2 linked regions of the Lonchura striata genome follow. The protein of the gene in region 1 purifies or fractionates together with the protein of each later gene. This does not show direct contact. Links are inferred from orthologs where the notes say so. Each region holds a gene or a part of one and is shown on either strand. Other genes may lie near its edges.

Evidence for each region.
Region 2: the proteins of IMP3 (region 1) and UTP3 purify together in Homo sapiens (affinity purification with mass spectrometry; 3 studies listed by BioGRID and IntAct, with this or other methods). This does not show direct contact. The link is inferred for Lonchura striata from reciprocal best matches to the Homo sapiens genes IMP3 and UTP3.

The regions. Positions count from the first base shown.
Region 1 is NC_134605.1:108,077,529-108,085,010, forward strand, and holds IMP3 (U3 small nucleolar ribonucleoprotein IMP3), read right to left. Parts: upstream 2,723-7,482; coding exon 2,165-2,722; 3' UTR 511-2,164; downstream 1-510. Other genes in the region: PLA2G7 (platelet-activating factor acetylhydrolase), read left to right, coding at 2,953-3,346, 3,526-3,644, 5,714-5,864, 6,427-6,520, 7,143-7,211. UniProt on the Homo sapiens protein: Component of the 60-80S U3 small nucleolar ribonucleoprotein (U3 snoRNP). Required for the early cleavages during pre-18S ribosomal RNA processing. Part of the small subunit (SSU) processome, first precursor of the small eukaryotic ribosomal subunit.
Region 2 is NC_134606.1:72,541,324-72,547,565, reverse strand, and holds UTP3 (something about silencing protein 10), read right to left. Parts: upstream 2,179-6,242; 5' UTR 2,172-2,178; coding exon 588-2,171; 3' UTR 525-587; downstream 1-524. Other genes in the region: JCHAIN (immunoglobulin J chain), read left to right, coding at 6,166-6,229. UniProt on the Homo sapiens protein: Essential for gene silencing: has a role in the structure of silenced chromatin. Plays a role in the developing brain. Part of the small subunit (SSU) processome, first precursor of the small eukaryotic ribosomal subunit.

The sequences.
Region 1 (7,482 bases):
CCACTGCTTAACAGTCTACAGGGTTATTTCTCTTCTGCTACAGATGCTGAAGGTGTGGCAGCACACTGAAGGTGCACAGATGAATGATAAAAAGTTGTTTCATACAAAAGGAATGGGCTGATGATGTAAACTGCAGAGGCTGACAGGCTGGAGGTTTATTTCCTTTTCTGCACTTCCTCCAAGGGTTGGACACACTGGGTAGAGTGGGAGTTTAGCATCTCAGTAGTAAAATGCCCTGCACAGTCACTGTGCTGTTAATTAAATTCCCCCAAAAGAGTAAAGCACAGCAGAAGCACTATTTTAACCTGCACCTGAATAAAGCACCTTCTAATTTTCCCAAGAAATAATGGCATTGATCTAGAGGAAAGGGAAGCTGGGAAGGTGTTTAAAAGGTGTGAAACTTTTTTTCAATTTGCATTTCTTACCATAAGCAAGATGCACACTCTAAGAAAAAGGTTAAGATGTTGTTGAGGTATGATTACTGAAATAAACTGAAGCATAAACAGCAGCAGTAGGCAAACAGTTTATCCACCTGTTAAGTGTCCTTTTCTTAATATCTATTATTGCTTTAGTAATTGTTCTGCTTAATACAGCTGGCTTATGAGATTGGGAAGAAATGTAAATATTCTGTTTGCCCTATAAAAACATGACATAATATTTGGTGACAGATTGTGGGCATGCAATACTTCCAAAATAAATCTCACCGGAACTTTTTTTGTTCAAAAAAGCCACAAAGGCATCCACATCCAGAGCTTTGACAGTAGCTGCACTCCGGCTCTTTGGATTTGGGATGGACAGTCACAGCTCTGCTCCTAAACCTACTGCCAAATCCTTTCATAGCCCCAGGTAAGGAAAAGAGAGCATTCCTAGGATAAACATGTTACAACTCAGTAATAGCCTTCTAGCTAATAAAATAAAACAAAACCAGACTTAAGTAAGTTACATAAAAACTTTTAAAAAGTTCAGAAAGGTGGCAAACAGGGCTTAAAAATCAGAATAAACTCAGATAAGTTATATCATAAAGCAGTCCACACATTTCTTCACAAACTAAACAATCCAAGAGTTTTATTTTCTTCTGCTTTTTTTATCAAAAGGGAACAAATTTCCAATGGCCCCTGGCTAATATGCTAAATGCAAAAGTTCCCCCAAATCTGCAGTTATGGTTAGATCAGCTTCTGCTCCAACAGCTCCCCAGTTAGATCCTGGTCCATAAATTATGTCTAGTACTCATCTGGAACCCCACACAAGAAAGACACAACTCAAAGCATCAAACTTCCCTTTACAACTTCACATGACAATAAAGTTTTTTGTTTTGTTTTTAATTCCGTTTTTTGGCTAAAACTTTCAACAGTTTCAGAAACCGGGTATTTGGCCTTCTTGTTTACTGCTGACCCCCAGAAATCCCCACATTCCCTCCTTATTCCTTGATATAAAGAGATAACCCTTCCAGAAGTAACTGATTTCTGTGCATTCAACAGCTGAAGGAGAAACCAGGACAACCTCTTGGAAAAAGAGCAGCGAAGCAGCTAAATTCAGTCTTAAAACAGACACTTGGCTTGGGTTAAAACCCCTTCCAGCAGCTGCTATTAAGCTGCCAAGCACGTAAGCCTGACCTAAATCCTCTCCTGCAACTGGGCAGCAACTTTTCCAAGCACATTCCAAAGGATGATGGAGATGCACTTTTAAGGATGAGGGAGCTGGGCTGGGGATGATGATGGAGCTGAGCATGTGTCCTGAGGTGACTTTATCATGCTGGTACCCCCATCTGTCTCTTTAGCCCAGAAATAAGTTCTGCACCTTTAAAACTAGATCTGAGAGTGAAGCAAGAGAGAAGGAAAATTTTCCCTAAACAAGGACAGCATGCCAGGAACGATGATGGAGCTGGGCACGTTGAGGATGATGATGGAGCTGAGCTGCTGGGCTGACAGTGAAACTAGGAATGCCAGGGACGATGATGGAGCTGGGCCACTGGATGCATTCTCAAAGCAGTGGATGTGTAAAGGTAGTTCCTAATGCATGGATGAATGGAACCATTAGCTGCAAAAGGGAACCAGCAGCAGGTCAATACGACCCTGGAAACACAGTTTCCTTTTGTGTGCATATCCCGTGGTGGCACCGCCGTGATCTTATGGGTGTGCGTGTCCCGTGAGGCAGGGCAGCAGCCCTAGGCGGCCAGGTCGAAGTCGTCGCGCTCCTGGTTGTAGTCGAGCACCTTCTGCCGCAGGCGCGACGCGTCCACCCAGGTGATGAAGTCCTCGACAGCGCGGGGCACGAGGAGCGCGGGGTCCGTCACCACCTCGGGCCCCACGCGGACGTGCCCCTGCTCCACGAAGGTGACGGCGTGGCGCAGGTTCTGCGCCATGCGCAGCTTCACCAGCAGGCAGGGCAGGCGCCGGCGGCAGAAGGCGGCGGCCGAGAGGCTCTCGCAGACGGCCAGCGACTGCCGGCTGTTCACCAGCCCCAGCCCGTGCAGCTTCTCCAGCAGCGCGGCGGCGCAGCGGGCGCGGAAGGCGGCGCTGGCCGGGCCCAGGTCGCGGAGCCGCCGGGCCAGGGCGCGCACGGCGCGGGCCAGCGCCTTGTACTGCACGTAGTCCTCCCGCCGGCCCACCCGGTACCGCCGCAGCGCCCGCACCTCCGCCAAGTTCCCGCCCGACGCCTCCCAGTTCACCAGGTCCAGCCGCCGCAGCAGCTTCTGCTCGTGGTACTTCAGTTTCCGCACCATCTTGGCGGGACCGGGATCCGCCGCGCCGCTGCCGGAGAGGGACCTTTCCGGGGCGGGGCGGCCGCCGGTCCCGCGGCTTTTCCGGGGAGGAGCAGCCGAGCCCCGCCCCGGGGGTGCTTCCTCGGCAGGCCCGCCCCGGGGGAGCCCGGCCGGGCAGCGGGGCGCCGGGAGCAGGATGGCTCCGTGTCTCCTTCCCCAAGGAGAAGGCGGCAAATAGAGCCCAGCTTGGGATGCGGCTGCTTCCCCCCGCGCGCTGCGCATCGCCGGGGCCAGCCCGGCGCGGAGGGGTCAACCCAGGTACGGCCACATCGTCCCGACACCCGCTCCGGCACGGGCAGCCTGACCTTGTCTCGCCAGGGGCCGAGCCTGGCATTCGTCATTCCTGCTGGAAAAATGGCAGCGGCGTTGTGTTTCTCCGTGACATCCCACTCCCCCTGATGCACAGGCCGGTTTTCCTTGAGGAGCAGCAGAATCCTCTCTCTGTGCGGTTCGTAGCGCCGCAGATCTCCCGAGTGCCGCCGCGGCCTCACCAGGCAAAGGTTTCATCCCACTTTTCTGTAAGTGCACGGTGTTGTCTGCTCCTTGGGATTCAGGATACAACAAGGAAAATCCCCAGTAGAACAGGTCAGATTGACAATTCGGGATTTTTTTGTTTCTCAAAAGCAGACTTTGGTATTGGCTCTATCTTGACTTTCCTAATTCTAGATTTTCAGCGTGCTGGATTTGTTTCAGTGTGGGTGGTCTGGTCACAGAGGCCATGGTGGTCTCTTGATTTGCTTTGTGTTTTTCCCCGTGTTTGGCAGTGAAGGCACCAATGGAAATGTCGAGCACCAGCAGCACTGAGAAGTTTTACAGGATCCCTGAAGGAAAGGGACCACATTCGGTTGGATGTACAGACCTGATGACAGAAAATGCAGTTGAGGTAAAGCTTTCTACTCTTTCTCCTTTGGATTTAAGCCACAATATTAGTGAAACAACTGGCTGCAGTTTTAAAGCAGAAGGTCTTGCTTGTGTACTCCATGCTGACACTTACAGCTGAGCTTTTGATCCTCTCTGTCCTGGTGTAGGATGTAAACTGGGTGTTTACCATATGGATGTAACCTGCAAGCCTTTCCCATGGCCAATTCCTCCCTCTTCTAATGTCCTTGCCTTTCTGACTCTCCTACACAAGATGCTGCAGAGAAACTGTGTTCTCCTGGGACCCAAGGGGTTCTTCCCACCCACCCCACTGCTCTCTCCTGTGCCGGGCTCCTGCGGAGACTCCACACACAGTCTCTGTTTCTGTGGCTGTTCTCATCAGAAAGATCCCAACTGAATTTGGCAGGGTTGGGAGATTAGCCTATGCAGTATTTCAGCTGCAGAGTAAAAGATGAGATGTCTTCTTGAGATTTTATCTCACTGAAGATGAACAGGATGTCAGTTTGGCAAGAAGTTAGCACAGTAAGAAGCCACAATAGTTACTGTTAGGGACAGTAACCAGACAAGTAATGAGCTTCCTTGTGAACTTCCATTTCAAATCCTCTTGCCCTTGAGGGAATACACCTGTATTTATACCGTGGTTTTACTCTGCAGAGTAGCCTGATGTAGTGGAACTTGTGATCAGTTTGTAATGGTTCACATGTTTTCCTTTACTGAGCTTACTCTACATCAGCACAGATAAGTGATGAGTTTCTTTTTGCAGTCAGTTTTGCATGTGGGTTTTTTTTACATAAGCATTATGAACAATTGTAGTTCTCTCAGGCATAAGTAATGAACCTCTTCCTCCTTCTAGTAATCATGTAGCCATTGGGAAGGTTCACAGGGACTGTTCTGAGATCAAGGTAATACCGCTACCAGTGTGGAGGAAAGTTTTTCCATAATGGTCTCTGTGTCAAAGGTTGATTTAAGTTTGATAAGTAAATAGAAGCAAGCTTCCTTAAACAAACTTTTGGTAAACTGATAAATTAGTGTTCAAGAAATCAGGCTTTATTTCAAAGCTCATGTTTATTTTGGCCCTGATTGTAAGTTGCTAAACCAAAAGTACGGCTGAAGCAAGACAGTGATTTTGAGTGGGGTTTTGCAAATTCCCTTGCAAACCAGGAAATAAAAATGCAAATTGCACACAGTTCATCTGCTGGGAAGTCTGTTTGTGGTGTACATTGGTATACTGCTGCTGTCTGTGAAGGAAAAGACTGACAAGGCGGAATGGAAGGTCCCTCTGAGTGTGGAAAGCTTGGGTACTTTCCTGGGATACCTGGAATGCAGACAGTAGGAGATTTGAACTGGTGGTAAGAAACAGAGTCAGATGAAACATAGGCTAACAAAGTTGTGTTTAGAAAGATGTACCACAAGAGACTTGTGAACATCTTGATGAGGAGGAAGAGCAATCAATGTATAGTTCTCCCTTGCTGTGCAGCTGCCCAAGAGCTTTGCTGACAACCTCTGCTCAGTTTAGGCAGGATCACTACAGCCACGTTAGAGACCTTTATTTTCTCCAGGCTGAAAAGCTCCAGCTCTCTCAGCCTGTCATGCTCGGAGAGGTGCTCCAGCTCTGAGGTCATCTTCAGTCACTCCTTTAATAGTCAGCCCTATAAAACTTAACAAAACACGTCATCAAACCATTCCCAGTGAAGAAGACGGGAGAAAAGATCCAGCAAGATGCTGGATCAGGCATATAGGTAGTGAGTGTTTGTAATAATTTAATTAAATGAAGCATTTCTAATAAGCCCTAAGCTAACCTAGGGAAGGTGATGTGTATCTCCACCTGTGATGATGTATATGTCATGTTACTGTAAATTCATTGTAGGCTCAGAAGATTGTGATACAGGATTGGCATCAAATTCTGTATATGATAATAATTTTCTCATGGCATTCTCATAATTCTCTTGAACTGCATTCTTGCAACCAAAATCTTTTCTGTAAATGTTTTAATCTTCCGTTTTCTCTGCCATATATGAATAAATACCAATATTCCTTTTTTTTTTTTTTTTTTTTAATTTTTCCTAATCCCAGGGAAGCTTTTTGCGCCTGTATTATCCAGCATATGATGCCACAGATATCGAAGAGGCACGATGGATTCCAGACAAAGAATACTATCAGGGACTCTCTGACTTCCTTAATATGTACCGAGTTGTAGGAGAAAGGCTTTTCCATTATTATGTTGGTAAGACTTATTCTGTTTTTATTCCTTGCCTGTTGCTACCTCCATGCTCCATGAGCAGGGTGCTACTGCTGCAGGGCTGAAGAAGAGTTTTTAGTAAAGAAGTGTGTTTTTGTGGGATGGGTTTGTGTAGTGAGGCTGCTGAATGTGACCCCAGTTCTCAGGCAGTCTCTGCTTGCTTTGGATAGGAGTGTCTGGGCAGTTTGCTCTAGGTCAGCTGTACCTGTGTGTTGTGATTTAAATCTCACAAGGAAATGTGCAAAGATATAAAAGAGAGATCCTAGGGTCTGAATATCAGCAAGATCTGAATGCCTGACTATGAAGATTTAACAAATATGTAGACCTTGTGCCAGGCTGTGGATGGGAGGAGGAGAAGTATCTTCTGCCAAGTAGAAATTATTTTCAGAATCAGATCCATATTTATCTTCTGTTTTAAAGATGAGTCTTGGAACCTTATCTTTAGGTGATTGCTCTGATACCAGTGGTCAGCCGTAGATCTCTCCCACAGGAACAAATGCTTTCTCTCATTCCAGTAATAATGATGTACACTTCCATTTTTATTTAGGTTCAGTGACCTGTCCTGCAAAGTCAAATGCTGCTTTTAAGCCAGGAGAAAAATACCCACTTCTTGTTTTTTCCCATGGACTTGGAGCTTTTCGGTAATTTTGCAGTTTATTGACAAACTGTTTTTGTTGTCTATGGAGACAGCATCTCCAAGGGTGGTTCTGAACAGATTTTCAGTAGGGGGGTGAGATCCTTGTGGAGCTGAAAGATTTGCTTCCATGTGTCATTATGCTCCCACTGAAACAACAGCAGGGTTGGTGTATGGTTGGTCACAGAATAATAGAACAGCCTGCATTGGAAGGGTCCTTTAAAGATAATCTCTGCTGTGGGCAGGGATGCCTTCCCCTAGACCAGGTTGCTCAGAACTCCATTTGTGTTTTCCCTCTGTATGATGGAGGTGAAGATATTTACCAGCCCATGAGGAGGTTGTGAAGATCAGCTGGTTGATTTTTGGACAGCTCTTTGAAGATGCAAAGTGCTGTGTGTGCTACTTATTAAAAATCAGTGGCATTTTCCTTTCTGAACAGACAGTAAAAGAGTACCAAGGTTTTGTGAACAGGCTTTGGTGCCTGGCATATGAAATCTTACTCTGCTGGGTAGCAAATTCAAAGAGAATAAATACTGAGTGGAGACTAGTGCATACCTAGTGTGGTCAGCATTTAAAGAGCAAAGGAATTGAAAGACTGACTTCTCACCAGAGTGTGGTTTTTATTGCAGGACAATCTATTCTGCTATTTGCATAGAGATGGCTTCTCAGGGCTTTATAGTGGCTGCTGTGGAACACAGGTGAGTGTGCTGCACATTTTGGAGTTCTTTCACATGTTGAACAGAGTGTTATTTATTCTAAAGAAGAACTTCTGGATTTTTTAAAAAAGAAAAACTAACATCTCTTTTACAGCCCTGCCCACACTGCCCATAGCTCAACACTCCTCCAAAGGGATTTTTGTTTAGATAAGCCCCAGAATGAAAAGTCTTGGGGTAGATATCATTTGTCATTCTTCAGATATGCTATTTGTCTCACTGTTAGAATATAAAGTAGGTGAAGAATATAGAGGAG
Region 2 (6,242 bases), on another chromosome or scaffold:
TATCATATATATGGTTATAAAATCTAGACAAGTCCTTGTTTTTCTTCTCACTGAATTCAGGAAGGGAAACAGTATTTCAGACCACGTGAGACTAAGTAATTTAAAAGAAATACCCATACTTTTTAAGCGCTAACAAAGGTGTTAATCAGAACAAAAATTAACTACTACTAACCAAGTCTGTGCAGCTCAACACAGGAACAGGATGGACCAGGACTAGAAGCAAAACAAGAGTAGGCCAGTGGCAGCTGCTGAACCCCTTTCCCAACCCACCCTCAAGAGGTCCATCCATCCAACCTCATCTCCCCACCAGTCCCATTTAATTCCTTTTGCCTGATACTTTCCCTGCAAACTCTCAAGGCTTCCTGTTTAGGGAAACACAACAGCATCACAACAGAGGAAAAAACCTTCAGATATGGGTAAGGTGTGCAAAGGGCCCCTGTGCCGCTTGGAGATGGCACCTTCTAGCGAGCCCCCTCTGAAAAACCAAATACCACCCACCTTCCTTAAGAACAAACCCCACAACACCGTGTATAAAATTTTTATTGGACTCAGTACTGCTACTTGCAGCTCTTACAAAAAGATGACTTTCACTTAAGCTTCCTGCTTTTCTTAACCCCAGCCCGAATGCCAGAGAGTTCCCCGGCATATCTGTGCAGCTCCCTCCGCACCTCGCGGACCTGGCCCTTGCGGCGGATTTTGGCTCGCCGGAATTTCTCCCGATGCTTGACCCGGGGGTTGCGGTCGATCTTCCTCCTCTTGGGCGTGAGGCCTTTGTTCTTGATCATCTGATAGGTAACCCCTCTCTTTTTATTGGGATCCTCTCCTTCTGACACCGCTGCTTCTTCAAGCACATCTTCATCTCCAGTTCTCTTCCTCTTGAGTGCCAGCTTCTCCTCAAACATTTTGTAGTATTTTAGGGCCGCTTCCTCATCCAGCTCTGACTCATCTGACGACTCAGCAGCAGCAGCCTGGCCCTTAACAGGCACAGAGGCACGTTTAGGTTTCTTTTTGGTGCCGTTCATTGTGAGAAAAACCGAAAATTTGTTTTCCTTCTGTAGCTTCTCTTCCTTTTTGTCATAGTAGTTCCTCAGAAGCATACGAACCTGTGGGGAAAGCTTTTGGTCTATGACAGAGAGGTCATTGATGATATTTCTGTACTCCACCAGCCGTTCAATGACCGGGTGACTATGAACTGGCATCCTCTTGGACTTGAGAACCAGATAGAAACTGATATTGGCACAGTAGTTCAGGTAGAGATGATACTTGGTCTGCAAATAGCGACTGCCCTTCCCCTGGGGGATAGTGCCATCTCTGACCATTTGCAGCAGTGGGTGCAGCTCATCCTTGATCTCCATGAGCTTCACCTCAAAGTCCTCCATCAGCTGCAGGAGTTCTGGGGACTCCTGCTTCAGCAGCTTCAGCTGCTCCTTCTTGGAAAGGGCCTGCAGATCCTTATCAATTTTCTGCCCCTTGCTATCGTGGCCTTTCTGCTGCTTAGCCAGGTAGCCCTGGATCATGTCCAAACCATAATCATCCTCCCCCAAATCCCGCACCAACCGTCTCTGGATGACTTGAGCCTCCTGCTCCTCTTCCTCCTCCTCAGCATCGATTTCTTGCTGGCTCCGCTTGCCTTTGGCCTGGGCATCACTCCCATAGTCCGTGTCATAGTAGAGCTGCTTGCGCTGGCCCCAGGAGAGCTCATGGGGGAGCTTGGCTTCGGGATGGCGCTCCTCCAAGTCACTTTCCATGGACAGGACCCCCTCTTCATCCTCAACGTCATTTTCATCTTCCTCACCTCCTTCCTCTTCTCCATCCTCAACATCATTCTCATCTTCCTCACCTTCTTCATCTTCTCCATCATCCTCCTCTGCGCTGTACTCCACAAAAGGATTCCGCTCCTCCGTCTCTTCCTCCTCATCCTCCTCCTCCTCCTCGCTGTCCTCGGGCAGCTGCAGACCCAGCACCTCCTCCTCCTCCTCCTCTTCGTCCCCGGCCTCGTCGCCGCTGTCCAGGGCGGCCATCACGGCGCGGAACTGCTCCTCGTGGAAGCGCTCCACATCGTCCGCCAGCTCCTCGGGGCCGGCGCGGCCGCCGGGCACCTCGGCGGGGTCATCGGCGGGCTCGGGGGGCTCGGCCCGCGGCCGCAGGACGGTGCCGCGCCGGGTCCGCATGGCTCCGCCGCCGCGCTTCCCCTTCCGCTGCGTCCCTTCCGCTCGCTCCGGGCCCTTCCTGTCCAGCCCCGGAGCGCGGGCACGCCCCGGGGACACGGGGGAGCGCCCCGGGGACACGGGGGGAGCGCCCCGGGGACAAGGGGGAGCGCCCCGGGCAGCCCGCGGGGCGGCGCCGTTTCGAGCTGTGATGCCACGTGGAAAAAAAGAAGAAAAAACAAACAAACAACAACAATCCTTTTGTTTCCTCCTCGGGGTTTTCTTCCTCTGGAAGTCCAACCAGTACAGCTGTTGTCTGTGCGGTCATCTTACGGCAACGAGGAAAAAAACACACCTGACACCTGTGCCCTTGTAACCAAAACTTGGTATTCAGTTCCCTACGACCGGATCAAACTCGGAAAGAAGAAGTATTTTCAAAGCTCCGCGGACACCTCCGAGGTTTACACATGACCTCTCCCGTCACCGAATCGCACTTCTACAGGGATACAGGCAGCTTCAGGCTGCACAGCTCGGCAGCTGCTGCTTCATCACCTCTGCACTCGTGACTCTATCCCGTGCGGCCCAGAAAAGGAGCAATTCTTATATTTCAACACCTGGAGACCCTTCCCTAGGAGGGCTTTTAATGCAGTCTGTATTTATACGCCTCTGCATTGTCATCTTTGTGTTTTTGTGTGTCTGTCAGCCATGGCAGAGCACCAGCCCAGCCTCCCACCCTTCCCAAGGGAAAATGACATTAATACTGAGACACAGGGAAGCAATCTGCTTGTATGAGCTGCAGGCAGCCCTGCCACAAGAACAAAGTAATGAGACACAGGAGTTAGTGCAGTCCAAGCTGAGAAACCCAGAGCCTGGTAAATCAGGCATGCACACTTCCCAGCAAGAGCAGTTCCGTGTACAAGTACAGGGGCTTTTCTCTCACCACAGAACAGGTGCAGGTGTATTTATAAATGCTCCTGTCCACCCTTTTGTAGAAAAAAACCCAGGTCAGACAGATATTCAAATTAGCTGAAACAGAGTGGGGTGCTTTACTCACTTTTTGGTGATTCATTTGGATCCTGATCAATCTGTTGGCAAACAGGTCTCAGTTTTGACTTTGAGACACTCAGCCTCTTCACATAGTCACCTCTGGATCAAAGTTTCCTTGCACAAACACAGTTTTTGCCTCAGACCACTTTTCCAAATCAGTCCCTGCCAGTTTTCAGCCATCACCTTGCTGGATACAGGCCTGTAGAAGAAAGAGCAACAAGAGTAACTTGGGTCTGGAAACAGCATCCACTACATTTGTTGGCTATACTTTGGTGTAAAGCTTCACTTGATACTTGACCACTAAATACAACTGTCTTTGGGGACAAGGAATAGCCTCATCAGGTGACTGCTCAGTCCTGCTGGCTTTTTGTGTGAATCCATGCAGAGACATCTGCAGCCAGATCCTGCCAGCCTAAAATTCCAGGTAACTTTTGCAGCTGTGACTTAGAGAAACCCAGGCCTTTCTCATGTCCCTGACCTTGAGAGTTTGAGAGTTTCCATCTTAAGTGTCCTAATCAAGTCTGCCCTTTGAAAAATTGGCATACTAACTTCCACTTGGACTTAAATGGAATTTACATGTCTCCCAAAGTTAATTTCCAAGAGCAGGAAACAATCTGTGTCTATTCAAACCTTTTCCAGGACTTAGTGAAAGCATCAGCCACTTCTGGTGAAGCTGGAGATGATCTCCAGCATGAGTTAGTTGATCCAGTCAACCAGGAGCTGCTAAAGCCAAACCAGTTTGCTGTAAACATCATGGAACCACTGCTACCAAGACAACAATCAGGAACTGCTGCTGGTCTGTTTAGATGCACCATTCTGTTGGCTTCCAAGTGAGAAAGGAGGAGCAAGGAGAAGCACAGGGCAGACTGCTCATGGATGGTGTGTTGTGTGGAGAGAGAGGTCCTGTGCCTTGGTGCTGTCCAACTCTCCCAGCACAGCAACAACAATTTCACCCCACTTCACTCAGGCACCTGCCCAGCTTCTTAGCTGGAAAATCCTGGTTCTGCATGTCTGAGGGCAGCAGGAAGCACAGGCTATGTGAATTGAGACTGAAACCACAGGGCTGGTTCCCATTTCTTTTCCAATTCTCAGTTATTCCACCTCTAGCCTCTGCCCTGCAGGGAGGCTGGGAGTCCAGCTCCCAATGCAGCCCATTGCCAAATGCCTGCTCGCCCAGATAAAATTCCAGAAGTCATCCAGTAAAACAGCAGTAATCCATAAAAATAACAGTACAGAACATAAATCTTCCTCTCAAGATCTAGCAAGAAATCCCCAGAGACATGCAGGTGGCTGAAGGGACTGAAAATAGCTCTCATGTCATCATATCCACACCAAGGGACTGCACACACACGTGTAGATTTAGCAACTGAAATCCAGATATGCTGAGCACCAACAGCAAAGGAAAACCACCAAAGTGAACAGAAAGACACAGCTAGAATTCTGCTCAGTCTCTGCCCTGACATTTGAAAATATTCTCCTTGCATGTTCCCAGTGCCATATTTTTTGTTATTGCAGCTGGGCAAAACAGATCAGCACCAGCCTGCCTTGCTTGTTGTCTATCCTGGTGCTGGCATCCTCCGTTCTTGTATAATTCTAGCAAAATTCTTACAAAAAAGGGTGATCAAACAAACAGTACTTTAGACAGCCATCCCTACCAGCACTGGTGAGCCAGGTGAATTTTTTACTTCCTGCCAAAAATGGGGCACAAGGGAACATCTTGCCCCTGTCTCAGAGAGAGGGCTGCATAAAACTGTTAGCAATGCCTTCTGGGATGGAGAAAGGAAACAACCCCACATCTTTGCTTTGCTACAGACAGATCCCTAACGAGAGCACAAGGTTTGTAAAGAACTGTGGAAGAACCCAATGCCCTGCAAGGAGTTAGCTGTGACCCCCCATCATCCCCTGCCAAGTCCCAAGCTCCCCTTGCACATGAGCACTGCTGATGTAACCTGAAAGCTCCTTGCATCATGCAGCTGCAGGGTGAGGGCTTTGTGCTTGAGGAAAAAGCTCAGGGCACACAACCAGGGACTTGGAACAGTTCTGGCCTTAGGGACTCAGCCAGCAGGGTCTAGAAAAGGGAGACATCCTGCAAGGTCACAGTAGCCAGGATGCTTGGGAGCATTGTCAAAAGAGTTCAGCCTCTTGAAGAAGCCCAGCAAGAGCAACCAGGTCCTTGCTAAGCTTGGGTTTCCCTGAAAAAGTGCCTTTTTCTGTACAAGACACATGGAAATGCTACAGAGACAGCTCTGGCCATTAAAGGCAACATTTGCTCTTCAGAAGTTACATAAATGATCCCAAATCTGGGACCAAAAAAAAAAAAAAAAATCCCAGGCTCTCTCCAGTGCCACTCTCCTCCAGGAAAATCTGCATGCCCAACACCCCAGGGTTCTCTTGGCACCTGGTTCAGGGCCTCTCGTAAACCACAAATCCCATGGAGTTCCTCTTCCATTCACAAGAAGACCAACTCCTCAATGCAGTGAGCAGAGCTGCAGTGGCTGTACCTCTTTCACCCCTGCCCTGTCACCTTTCCTGCTTTGACTGCAGGCTCTCTGGGTCAGGTCCAACCCTTAATTCAGGTTTGCAGACAGCTGTCCAAACAGGATTTTGATTTTTAAACCTGAAGTGGTATAGGACTCAAGGGATTTTAAAGTCTGATTTCTCAAAATTAGGTGCCACAGCTGTGACTCTTGGACTTTCTTACCTCCCACCAGCCCTGATGGCAAGATATCCTTGTACTCAGCAGCTCTGTTGCCTGTTGGTGAAGAACAGAAAAAAGCACAATCAAAGTGCAACCCCCTGCTCCCTTCCCCTCCGAAAGCCAGAGGTCTTGGTGCATTACCACACCTGGTTTCAGTCCCCAGCCACATTTTCCAGTGTTGGCTTGGCTGTTTATTTTAGGAAACCAATTTGCACACACCCTTATAGGCAGAGTCAGGCTCTCCACTCATTCTTCAAAAGAAGGGAAGGCAAGATGAAGAGCACTTGGACTCTGTGTGTTGCCTTGGCCATCTCCTTGGGGATCATCCTTGTGGCAGGTAGGTGAGGAAT